Mus musculus: one gene and its partners. The protein of the gene in region 1 binds, or shares a complex with, the protein of each later gene. Links are inferred from orthologs where the notes say so. Each region holds a gene or a part of one and is shown on either strand. Other genes may lie near its edges.

Region 1 (3,745 bases):
TTAGCTCCTTGGGTACTTGAGTCCTAGGTTTTACTCCAAGCCATTTGAAAACTTTGCAGGCCCATCACTGTCCCTGAGAGGACAAGGGAACACTGTGAACTGAGTGGCAGCTCTGACCACATCCTGCTCTTTTGTAAGCAGCAGCCACAGTCTTGCTGGATCACTGGCTCAGCTAAGGACAAGCAGACAAGGCAGTCACTTTCAACTCTGTCTGCATGTTAGAAGACTTGGGAGACATCCGTTCTTGGTTGCTTTATGTTAGGCTGGGGAGATTAGCTGGTAAAGTATATACTGTAGGGGCATGAAGACCCGAGTTTGGATCTCTGCACCCACACAAAAGTCATAATGGGGTAGGAGGCAGAGACAGGTAGGGCCCTGGAAACTTGTGGGCCAGCCTGGCCTACATGGTGAAGTGAGGCCAATGGGAAACCCTGTCTCAAACAAAGGGCACTGAAGAGAGACAACCGAAGTTGTTCTCTGACCTCTATGTACACTGTGCATGTATGCATTCATACACCCATGAACACATGCATGTGTGCACATATAGATCTACTCAAGGTTGACTATAGTATAATGTGGTATTTTATTTATTGTCAATTAAAAACTCAGTTGAAAATATTTACAATACCAATTGAACTTAATCTAAGGAATCAACTGTCATGTTTTTACATGTCAATATTGGGTATTAAAAGGACAATCAATATAATTATGCTCAAAATTATTCAGCCCACAACTGTAAATGACTGGTTTTAGGATGTTTATACACAGCTCAGTTTTAGGTATTGAGTTCTTTGGCTCCTAGGAAAAACATTTTGTTTACTTCACTAATGGGGACATCTCTCAATGCTGGGATGGCATCCTCTTGGTAGTTTTTCCTCTGTTGGTTTTTAGCATAGTTATCTGCAAGAGAAGAAGAAAAGCTCTGTGGTTGGTTGAGACCTATCACACTGCTCAGCAGGCTGATGTGCAGATGATGGCAATCACCGCGAGCTATTATTAGCTATTTACCTCATGCTGTAACAAAGTCCCTAACAAATGCAACTTAAGGCTTAGTTGTACGGAGACAGTTCACCATGGAGGGGAAGGTATGTCAGTAGGAGCAGGAGGTGACGGACCACGTGTGTCTACCATTTGTCCGTCAGGAGGCAGACGGGGATAAATGCTTATATTCAGGTTATTTTCTCCTTTTTATTCAGACCTAGAGCCCATGTACATACCACATTTAAGGTATCTTCCCACTTCAATAAACTGACTCTAGATAAACCTCATAGAATGCTCAGTATTGGTTTCCCTGGTGACTCTAAATTCCTTCAAGTTGCCAATTGAGATTAATCATCATGCCATGTTGAATGTATCAGATGACTTTCTCCCAACGTGTTTCTTAGGCCTATTTCTGATTGCTTTTCTGATAAAAGTACTAATATCTCTTTCCTCTATGCCTCATAATTTTATTTCATATAAACGTACCTGTGATCGTATGAATGGAGTCAAGTGGAGAGGTACTCATCATGTTGATTCCAAATAAGAGCACATAACCAATTACAACTGTGATAAGGAGGTAGACGGGCAATGCAACCGCCCAGTATCTGCACAAGAGAATTCATGCATGTCAACAAACATGCATGAATGAGTCATAATTCCCAAGAGTCAGTCACAAAACACACTTTAACAATCTAGAGTATTATTAAAGTAGCTGATGTATGCATGTAACAGATAGTGCTATAAGGGGCCAATGAACAGCTGCAGACACCTGTCTCAGCCAAGCCATCCCAACCCTAGAATTTTATTCTGCCCAAACATGCCCTTTCAATATCTGAGCTGTTTCTTCTGGTATTTACATCCTCATTTCCATATAACGTGCCTACATTATATCTTGATTTTCATCAGCTTTAGGCATTTTCTCTAGATGCTCTAAAATGAAAATAAGGTGTTTACTTCTTCCTCACACTTTCTGCACATGCTTCACTTTATTATGACAGCAGTTAAAAACAACTGGTTATGCTAACATTTGCAGCTGAGAACCTTAGTGTATTATGTTTTCTTATCTGTTTTTCTGAAATTATACATTTCTGTCTACTGTTTCCCCAGTATCTATCAAAACTCCAGAATCAAATTCTTATATGTCTCTGTTTTCCTCTCCATACAGTGACGTCCACTAAGTGCTCTATCTTGCCAGGTTTTGTTAAATCATTTCCTCCCTACCGTTTTCCTTTGCTACAATTTCCACTTTTTTGCACCATTATTCATTTCTCTGTTTTCCATCTTTGCTTTCTGTTCCACTGTCTCAACAGTCAACTTTCTAGATAACATTTTAATTACCATGCTTATAACTTTTCAATGGTAATTTAAAAAAATCCCTTGGGCAGCATACCATTCAGGATTCTTTCTCATCTCAGATGATTAAACCTTTTCCCCGTTCTGTTAGATGGCATTATCTCCATTTCTTTTAAGTATCTTCTATTTTGTATTTAAGGACAGACTTTTCTTTTAGTGCCTGGTGTTTATGATGGCGTATTATATTTAAGATCCAAGTGATAAGTTGATAGGAAGTAAGGTATGTGATGTACATGGGCAGAGATGGCAGAAAGGTTAGATTATAGATGCTGCCTTTTACCCTGGTCAGCTTCCTCAGAAAGGTGCCTCCCACCTTTCTCTGGGAGAGGATAAAGCCTGGTAAGGGAAGGTGCTGGGGAGGAAGCCTTATTCGGCCAAGCAGATGCTTGTTAATTGTCCCCTGTGCTTCATTTCTACAGTTAACCCTTGTAACTTCCAGACTAGACTCTGCCCAGCACTTTCCACAGGATGGAACTATTTTTTTGAAGGGGCGGGCAGGATAAATCTCCAGGTTTAAGATATGGAAGGGGAGTCAGCAGGTCTAACGCATTTTAAACAAAATTCCTATCCAATGCAGAATTACCATTACCAAGAGACACTGCTGCTCCTGAGGTCTGGGTCCTTTTTGGAATTCCAGGGCACAAATGTTCTTGTTGGGTTCCCTCGTCTACCACATGGAAAAACCAGACTCTTCTATCTTGAAGCATGTCCTAAAATTTTGTTAATATCTTACCTACTATCCCATTTTGTATGCTTATACCTTTAAAAGATTTTCCGGCAACAGTATAATTTTAGCATGATTTTAGGAGGAAACGGAGATAAATGTTTGCCCCACCACCTTTAATTAGTGATATATTAATAACCTTTAGGGTATGGCTGTTGGGGTGTGGCTCACTAGTTAAAGCACTTGCCACTCAAGTGTGTGGACCTGGGTCTGGATTCTCAGACCCAGTTATGTGCTGAGCTTATGTGGCAGGCCAGCTGTAAGTTTGGTACTCAGAGGCAGACACAGGGAATTCTGGAACAAGTCGGCTAGTCAGACTAGCTGTACTATAGAGCTCTGGGCTCAATGTCACCCTCAAGAAAGACTCCTGACATCAACTTTGAGGCACTACATGCACGTGCAAATATGTTCACCTACACATACAACGTGGGCACGCACATGTGAATACCCCCACTACCCTCCCCCAGTACAAAAATAAAAGCAACATTCAATTTCAACACAGATACTCATGGATTTTAAAAGCCATAAGGATTTAAGGCTTGGGTTTTAGAGAAGAGTATTACCCTGCAAAACAATATCAGTTTTACCTCCCCATTGAAGAAATATTAAACTTACTTTTGAGGCCAGTAAGTTAAGCCTAAGGAGTTTAACCAAGATTCGGGAACGAAAGCCCACACAAGATAAAGT
Region 2 (3,632 bases), on another chromosome or scaffold:
GGACCCTCAAGAGATCCACCTCTGCCTCCCAAGTGTGTGTGTCACCACTGCCTGGCTTCCAAACAACTAACTTTTAAATGAATGGGCTAAAAAAAAGACAGTCCTTAGGGCCTGGGTGCTTGGTTGGCAGAGTGCTGGCTTGGCGTTCCTGAAACCCTGGGTTCCTCCAGCACCACATGAATGGATGTGGAGCTCTTGCCTATAAGTTTAGCACTCAGGAGGTAGAGACAGGAAGGTAAGGAGGACAAGGTCTGCCTCTCACAGCTTGAGGTTCCCCAGAACTAAATGAGAAGGCAATAGGCGGGCAGAGAGATGGCTCAGGGGCTAAGAACATGAACTCGCATCCTTTATGGATGATCTGAACACAGCTCCGGTAGCCTACAACTGCCTGTACCCCCAACTCCAGGGACCCATCACTTGCATGGCCTCCTTGGGCACCCACACTCACATGCGCATACCCACACACAGACACACAATTAAGAACAAATCTTAGAAGAAACAGTCTTTGGATGAAGGCTGGTCGTGTTCCTCTCCCATAAGACATTTTATTGAAAAGTATTTTTCAGCTACAAAAGAATCTGCAACAGCCAGGAACCTCCGGCCATGCCCCACTCCGCAGGCAGCCCGAGCAGGAGGGGCCTCGGCTCCCCTAGTTATGTCTGAAGAGCTTCAGGCCCATCCATGTCCACAGATGGAAGAACACGTACACAGGCACGGTGACCGGCAAGAGCAAGCTGTAGAAGCACAGGCTGCTGGCGCTGGTGCAGCCCTCTGGGAAGCCTTCCTCCACGGAGGCGGAGTAGAGCAGGCCTGCCAGCGAGACCAGTGGGATGAGGACGGTCATGGTGGGCAGGGACCGGATCATCTTCCTCCCTTCTTAAAAGGTTAACTGTCTCAAGAAAACTCAGTTGTTTGAAAAGTTCTGTTCTCGTGCGGGTGCGCTCTTGTCTTATCTTCCCCTTGTCCCGACTCCTCATTCACCCAGGCATGCTTCCCAAGGGCACGCAGAAAGTCCAGGGGTCCCAGGCCGAAGGTGCCGGCTCCTCAGCCTCCGCGTCACACGCAGCGGTTACCAGCGACTGCAGACACCACCTGTGTCCCTCGCAGCGCAGGCGAGAGGTCTTTTAACTGTATGAGAAAAATGCAAGATGACAAGATGAAGGGCAGGCGACGGGAAGGGAGAGGAAAGGATGGGGAAGCAGCCAGTACCAGCACTGAGTAGGTTAGAGACAGGATTGCTGGAACCGGCAGGCTGGCCTCGAACGTTGTGATCCTCCTGCATCAGCCTCCCCAAGCCACCACATCCGGCTAGAAAGAAGCCTTTAAAAAAAGGAGTGTCCTCCAAAACTGCCTATAGTGACCCCCATCAGAGGTATCAGTATTGAGGAGGCAGTGACAAAAGAACGGCTGCCAGACCATGCTTAAAACACTACAAGTGTCATGAATTACTTTGGGAAGTAAGCAATTTGAAAAACAGAATGAAGGACAGGTGGACTGATAATGTTTTTGTGAACTGGGGAAGCGGAATGCGACCTACAAATCCGGGTTCGCTTCAGACATCTGAGTGAGGCTTTCTATACGAGGACTGGCTGGGAACCAGCACCAGAACCTGGGGCCAGGTCACGAGCCACCCGCGGTCAATGCACAGACCGAAGACAGCGCCATCCCTTGGGCGCAGTCGCCTCGGGGACCAGAAGGGGCAACGAGCCCGCTGCAGTCTCTGACCGACGGAGGGACAGAGCCGAGCCGAGCCGAGCCGAGCCGAAGAAAACCGAGCCGAGCCGAGCGGGGCAAGACAGGACAGGGGGAACCCGGCCGAACCGAAAACGAACCAGCCAGACAAACGGAGTCGGCGGCGTCCATGGCGCAGACGCCAAGCTGGCGCGAGTCCCGCCCCAGCCGGTTTCAACAGCTCCTCCGCTCGTATTTCGAGACCCTCAACTCACCGTTTGCAGGCCTGTAGGAGTCCGGTCCCTTCGGCGCCTGGCGGTGACAGTCACCGCCCCACGAAGGCGGGACAGCCCGGCCAGCCGCCCAATCAAATCCCTGCAGGGGCGGGGTGAGGAACCCAGATCCCGCGATGGAGCCGGTCCGCGCGTGCTCATTGGACAGTTCACCTTGCCTTCGCTCCCAGGCTCAGGCTCCGCCCCCGTGGTCTTGATTGACGGGTGAGGCCAGAAAGACTCTGAGAGCACCGGATAGCTAAGGATCCCATCGTCTCTGGCTGGGCGTCCCCTATGCTAGTCCTGCTGGAAGTAGGAGAGGAACGTATTTGCCACAGTTTATTCATGGCGCTCCAGAGCAGACAGTGGGGTCTTTCTGCACTGAAAAGCCTTCCCCACTTTTTTTTTTTGGTTTTTCGAGACAGCCCTGGCTGTCCTGGAACTCACTCTGTAGAACAGGCTGGCCTCGAACTCAGAAATCCACTTGCCTCTGCCTCTGCTGGGGTTAAAGGCGTGCACCACCATGCCCGGCTGCCTTCCCCACTTCTAATTGATAAACTTGAATCCTGAATCGCACCTGGCCTCAGCCACTATCATCTATCCTCTTAAGCAGCGGAAAGATGACTGATACATTATTTTACGTATGAATCGGTAAATGGCAAAATAATAGTTTGTGCTGATGAGATGGCTCAGCGAGTATAGGCGTTTCCTGCCAGGTCAGACTACCTGAGATCGACCTTCCGGTACCCACATGGTGGAGAACTATTTTCCTCTGACCTCCACACATGTATTGTGGCACACCTGAGTGTACTCCCGCAAAAAGTGCAAAATGAAGTTTTAAGAGAAAATGTAGCCAAGCACACTCCTAATCCTAGCACTCCTTAGGCAAAAGCTAGCGGATTTCTGTGAGTTCGAGACCAGCCTGGTCTACATAGCAAGTTCCAGGTCATCCGGACTACATAGTAAGACGATGAGTGTGTGTGCCTTGGGGTTGGGGGGAGGGACGGTGTTCGTAAATGCTGTCCACGGGGCCGGCCACTGCCTTGCCTAGTGAGGCAGTGTTATCTCTGATCCCAGCGTAAAGAAAAATGAGGCTGAGCTAGGATTCTGCACAGTACTGCACAGGAAGCTCCATCCCTTAATCTTCCCGCAAGCTAAAAGATCAGAAAGTTTTTCTTCTCAGAGGTAAGTAGTGGTATAGAGTCCGTGCAGCTTCTGTTGCAACCACAAGGTGGCAGGAGAGAGCTGAGGACAAACCATCCTATGGTTTACACAGAGCAAGTAACAAACATTTTTTAATTTAAAAATTTAAAATCGGAACAAAAAATAGCCAGCAAGATAGTTCAAGAGGTAAAGGCACTCACTACACACGCCTGTGAAAAGGCCAGTATTGGCGCAAGATACCCAAGACCAAGTTCTTAGCGTAGAGGGGTTTTGCCCCAAAGTTCAAAGGGCAGGGAATAAGAGCCAAAGACAGGAGATAGAGGATGAGGGAGAAGGGGGGTGGGGGGGGTCACAACAGACAGGATGATGACAGCACAGCAAAGGACTGCCTCTGGGTAGAGGGGAGAAAGACGTGGTGCACAGGGAAATGGCGGTTTAAAAAGGTAAAGAGGAAACCCCGTGTTAGGACAAGGTGTTTTTTGTTTTGTTTTTTCAAAGGTTTACTTTTTGCGGGGCAGTGGTGGT
Region 3 (4,398 bases), on another chromosome or scaffold:
TTCTATGGCATGTAGCTCTCCTTGAGTGACCACTTCTGTGGTATTGGACAACAAACTGGATGCCACCATCAGGGATTCTCAAATTTGGGCTCTAGATATATAAAGGTGTCCCTTAGTATACACAGAAAAGGCTAAACAACTGATTACACTTTTACACACACACACACACCTTCATACTACTTTTGTCTTATGCTCTCATAAAAATGAGACAGGGCCAGTGTGATGGCTCAGCTGGTAAAGGCCTGTTGCCAGGGCCTGAATTTGATGCGTGGGACATACATACTGGAAATAGACAAACCCCCTCTCTTATACACACATAAATAAGGGTTTCCTTGTTTTGTTTTTTTTAAAATACTAGACAATGCAATGGATATTACTTTTTTAATAAGCAGAACCCACATTACATCATTTGTTACAGGGAATAAAGGACAATAATTCATAACAGCACCAGAAAGCTTTTTCAGTCACAAAATAACTGAAGGACAAGCACCCTCCCCTAAGCCCTTGGTTAAATGCTTTCTTCTGATCTCAGCTCTACCATCTAGATCAGTCGGCTGCTTCAAGAGTGGACCCCTGCCTTTAAATGTTGCACCGGTTAGGCTCGAAGTCTTTCCGCTGGTCTTAATAATGAAATGAAGGTCCCTAGATTAGCTAAGGAACCTAGACAAGTCTTCCTTGATTTCAGCTTCATCCCAAGGCCCGTGAATATTTTCCTTAAAAAGCTGCAGATGAATGAGGTAGTAAGGGCAGAGACAGGAGATGGAAAACAGCAGGAGAGCAAAGAGTATGGCTCCCACAGCACTAATGGACAGAAGACCTCCAAAGGCAGAAAAGGCAAAAAGCAAAGTGACCCCTACATAGCTTCGCGGGGTGTACGCCTTCAGTTTCTTCTGTAACATGGGCCACAGTGCAAAGATCTGGATAGCAAACGTCACCATAATGAAGGCGTGGAGTGACCGGGGGAGGCGTGAGGCCAGGCAAACAGAAGCAAAGATGGCCATGTTCAAGGACAGGGTGCTGGATACAATAGCAGCATTGGCACCGTAATCAAAGAAGATGAGATGGCCTAACAGCATAAAGACTGCCATGGCGTAGATAGTGTCTGTACTGACAGACTCCGTCAGGGTCTTTAGCACAGGTGAAAAACCGTAAGTGAAAGTGATAAAGACCAGAGTACTCTTCAGGTCGGCCCACCGGGTCCGCCCACTCTTCTTCCGTCCATCACCTCCATCGATAAGATCGAATAAAACATACCCAACCAAGGAAGATGCCAGTCCGGTCCCAAAAAGCCACTGGGGAGCCAGAAGACCCTCATCCATGTACCACCAGATCACTACAAAAACACAGACACTGCACAGCTGCTGTATCACCACACTGGACTCAAATACCACAGCCCAGTACTGGTACTTCCGGGCATAGATGTTTTTCCGGAGTTCTTCCAGGAACCTCTGGTCAACATAGTTATCAGGGAACGGCTGCCGCTCATATAAAACCTTCTGCCACTTGACTTCTGGGGTGTCTGTTACACGTTGAGCACACATTATCTCATTCTTTCCTCAAATCCAGGTTGGCTCAATCTCCCTCAGGGACGTCCATGGGGTTCTGGTTCTTGATAAATCTGTAGATTAAGAACTCTCTGGAAATGCCATGCTGATACCCTACAGAACTTTCCTTGTTTACAAAGCCTTCAGTACAAGCTGAGCCTGCATTAGATGAGTTTGTCCTGAGGGTCAGGACAACACAGCTAAATTCCTAGAAGAGAGAACTGTAAATATATGGAAGCTGGCATCAGATACAATAAAAAACAACTTGGCTTACTGAAAGCCTAGATAAATTGTGTCTGGTGACATAATGCGGCATTAAGCCTTCACATTTTAAAGTGTAGTCTTAATAATTGATATCTGCATCTAACTCAGAATGTTAAATGTCTTATGCACCTTCTTTAACTGTCACAGCCTTACAAGTTAATACCAGTTATGAGTTTACCTAATAAGACATCTGAGTTTCAAAACAGTAGAGTATTTAGGTCCCAGGCTAACAGCGTGGAGCCAGACCTCCTACAAAAGTCTAGTGTCAAAGTCTCTGCTTCTGGTCGTCCTTCTCTAAGCCAGTCTTAACTTGGGCATTCATACACTCTAAGGTTTATACTATTTTTGCATGATTATATTTGCAACTTACGCAAATTTATAGGGACAGAATCCATCCATAGCCGTTACTAGGTCCCCAAAGGTATCTGAATAAGTTATCGGTCGAATGACAATAACCTGCACCGTACAAAAGGGCATGATCTCTCTATAGTTTTAGCCCAAACCAAGAACTCAAATCTTTTTTGTTCATTAGCTGAACTTACTATCCTTTAAAGTGCTATATCATCCTAATTAACTGAAACAGCAAAACTCTAGCGCAGGATCAAGAAAACAATCATCCCAGTCGTAAACACAGAGGTCATTCAGCAAATTCGAGAAAGAACTTCCTGCCGGACCGTCTGTATTTTTCGTGGAGGCTAGGATAGACCTTTGCTTTAAAAGCCGTACACCCTGGAGTCGGCCCTCACGCACTGGGACCTCGGGATTTGAAAGGTCCCCGTCACCGGGCGGCGAAGGGTCTTGGGCTACCACTCACCCAACCGGCCTGCCCCGCCCGCCGCTGCCGACCCCCGCCCCAGCCTTGGATCAGCCGGAAGCGCTCACAGCGAAGGACGCCGGAACCCACCTGCACCAAGCTCTTTAGGGGGGTGCACGACCGAGAAGAGCGGCCGCCTAGCTACTTCTACATCCGGGACGCCGGCTTGGAAGGGGACTACTGTGGAGGAGCACTTCCGGATCCGCAGCACTCGGCGGCCAAAGCGTCCCGCCCCGAGACTCCACACCGCGAGGTCACTGCTGCCCTCTACTGATTGCTCCTCTCCTGGCAATCTGCTCCTAGTGGAATGCTAAGCCTGGGAAGCAAATCCCTCAGTGGGAATTACTTCACAGGGTGTGGAAGGCAGGAGAAGGCAGGAAGAGTCGCGGGGCTGGTGGAAGACTGGTAACTGCAAGGTTACCATGACATGTGTTGACAGGCTCTCAGCCAAGGGACTTTCCATGCATCCAAACCCTCCTCCTATAGGTGCCAAACCAGGCTTCTGGTATTCACCAAAAAAAAAAAAAAAAAAAAAAAAAAAAAAAAAAAAGGGGGGGGGAGTCGGGGAGATCCCAGATCTCACATAGCATCCTGTGCGTTGACTTGCACAGAGACGATGCGATCATTAGTTTGTTTTTGACCAAAGTCAGGCAGCTGGTTAGTAATTGCAAGTAGATCAGAAATATCCAAATGTGGATGGCTCCAAAGCTGGATCCTTTCCTAGACTTTGCCACCTAAAAGAGATGAGGGTGGAGAGCCTTTGGGACGAGAGATTGCTGATTTTCAACTGGGGTCTTGGAAGTGTCACAGGATTTATAAATAGATGGAAGCTCGAAGAATTTAAAATATAGAGACTGTTAAATAGTGTGGACACAGAGGCAGAAAGCATGAACCCATTTATTCATATTCACACTATCTGGGCTTTGAATTCTTTGTCTGTAAAAGAAAGAAGGCGCTTATTTGTTCTTGGCCACCTTATGGAATGGTTGGAGGACTCTCGTGTTAAAATAGTTTGCAATGTATTGATTGCTGTGTGGTTGCTGTTAGCTTACTTTGCTTATTGTAATACCAGCACTGGTCAAGTATTTTAACTTTTTTTTAATATTTTGTTTTTAATTATGTCTACATATGTGCTCCTGACTCCAGGTGTCTGTGGAGGTCAGAAGAAGGTGCTAGGTCCCCTGCCGCTATAGTTACAGGCAGTCATGAGCTGGCTTGTGGGTGCTGTCAACTAAACCTGGCTTTTCTCCAAGAGGAAGGAGTGCTGTTAGCCACCAAGGCATCTCTCTGGCCCTGTGACTCCCTTTAAGATTTAGTCTTCGGAAGTGTGATAAACTCTGCAACCTGATCTCTTTCCATTTCTCTCTCTGTAGGCTTTTGTTCCAAAGTTTGACAAGATTCCTTGGCTGAGTGAGGCCAGCCTGGTAAACAAACCATTGATCCTGAGCATCCCCAGAAGGTAACTTCCCAGCTTCTGAGGACAGAGCCTTCGAGGCAGAGCTCAGTGGTTGTACTCTTAAGGTGGAGAGGTGCATGTGCCCTGTTGAGAAACCAAGTCGAATGCAAAAAAAAGAAAAAGAAAAAGAAAAAAGAAAGAAACGCCCTGGGTTTCTCAGACAAAGGTTATGCTATGTAAAGGCCTGGCTAGAAGAAATGAGAGCCGCCATAACCTTCATTTCTGCGTGTACTATTCAACCACAGACACTGTAACTCAAAACACTTCCATAGTTTCCCCCCACCCCGCTTCAATTTCTAGTCTTCGAATTCTAATTATCA

Evidence for each region. Proteins that work in one complex are often made in the same cells at the same time.
Region 2: Pigp (region 1) and Pigyl share a complex: the UniProt entries of both Homo sapiens proteins name them as parts of the glycosylphosphatidylinositol-N-acetylglucosaminyltransferase (GPI-GnT) complex. The link is inferred for Mus musculus from reciprocal best matches to the Homo sapiens genes PIGP and PIGY.
Region 3: Pigp (region 1) and Pigc share a complex: the UniProt entries of both Homo sapiens proteins name them as parts of the glycosylphosphatidylinositol-N-acetylglucosaminyltransferase (GPI-GnT) complex. The link is inferred for Mus musculus from reciprocal best matches to the Homo sapiens genes PIGP and PIGC.

Annotation. Positions count from the first base shown.
Region 1 is NC_000082.6:94,363,888-94,367,632, forward strand, and holds the end of Pigp (phosphatidylinositol N-acetylglucosaminyltransferase subunit P), read right to left. Parts: coding exon 3,674-3,745; intron 1,587-3,673; coding exon 1,468-1,586; intron 901-1,467; coding exon 776-900; 3' UTR 565-775; downstream 1-564. UniProt on the Homo sapiens protein: Part of the glycosylphosphatidylinositol-N-acetylglucosaminyltransferase (GPI-GnT) complex that catalyzes the transfer of N-acetylglucosamine from UDP-N-acetylglucosamine to phosphatidylinositol and participates in the first step of GPI biosynthesis.
Region 2 is NC_000075.6:22,155,228-22,158,859, reverse strand, and holds Pigyl (phosphatidylinositol N-acetylglucosaminyltransferase subunit Y precursor), read right to left. Parts: upstream 2,015-3,632; 5' UTR 1,947-2,014; intron 1,129-1,946; 5' UTR 866-1,128; coding exon 650-865; 3' UTR 505-649; downstream 1-504. UniProt on the Homo sapiens protein: Part of the glycosylphosphatidylinositol-N-acetylglucosaminyltransferase (GPI-GnT) complex that catalyzes the transfer of N-acetylglucosamine from UDP-N-acetylglucosamine to phosphatidylinositol and participates in the first step of GPI biosynthesis.
Region 3 is NC_000067.6:161,967,594-161,971,991, reverse strand, and holds the start of Pigc (phosphatidylinositol N-acetylglucosaminyltransferase subunit C), read right to left. Parts: upstream 2,805-4,398; 5' UTR 2,713-2,804; exon of another isoform or gene 2,623-2,712; intron 1,766-2,622; exon of another isoform or gene 1,753-1,765; 5' UTR 1,542-1,752; coding exon 648-1,541; 3' UTR 1-647. Other genes in the region: 4930558K02Rik (uncharacterized protein C1orf105 homolog), read left to right, coding at 3,996-4,081. UniProt on the Homo sapiens protein: Part of the glycosylphosphatidylinositol-N-acetylglucosaminyltransferase (GPI-GnT) complex that catalyzes the transfer of N-acetylglucosamine from UDP-N-acetylglucosamine to phosphatidylinositol and participates in the first step of GPI biosynthesis.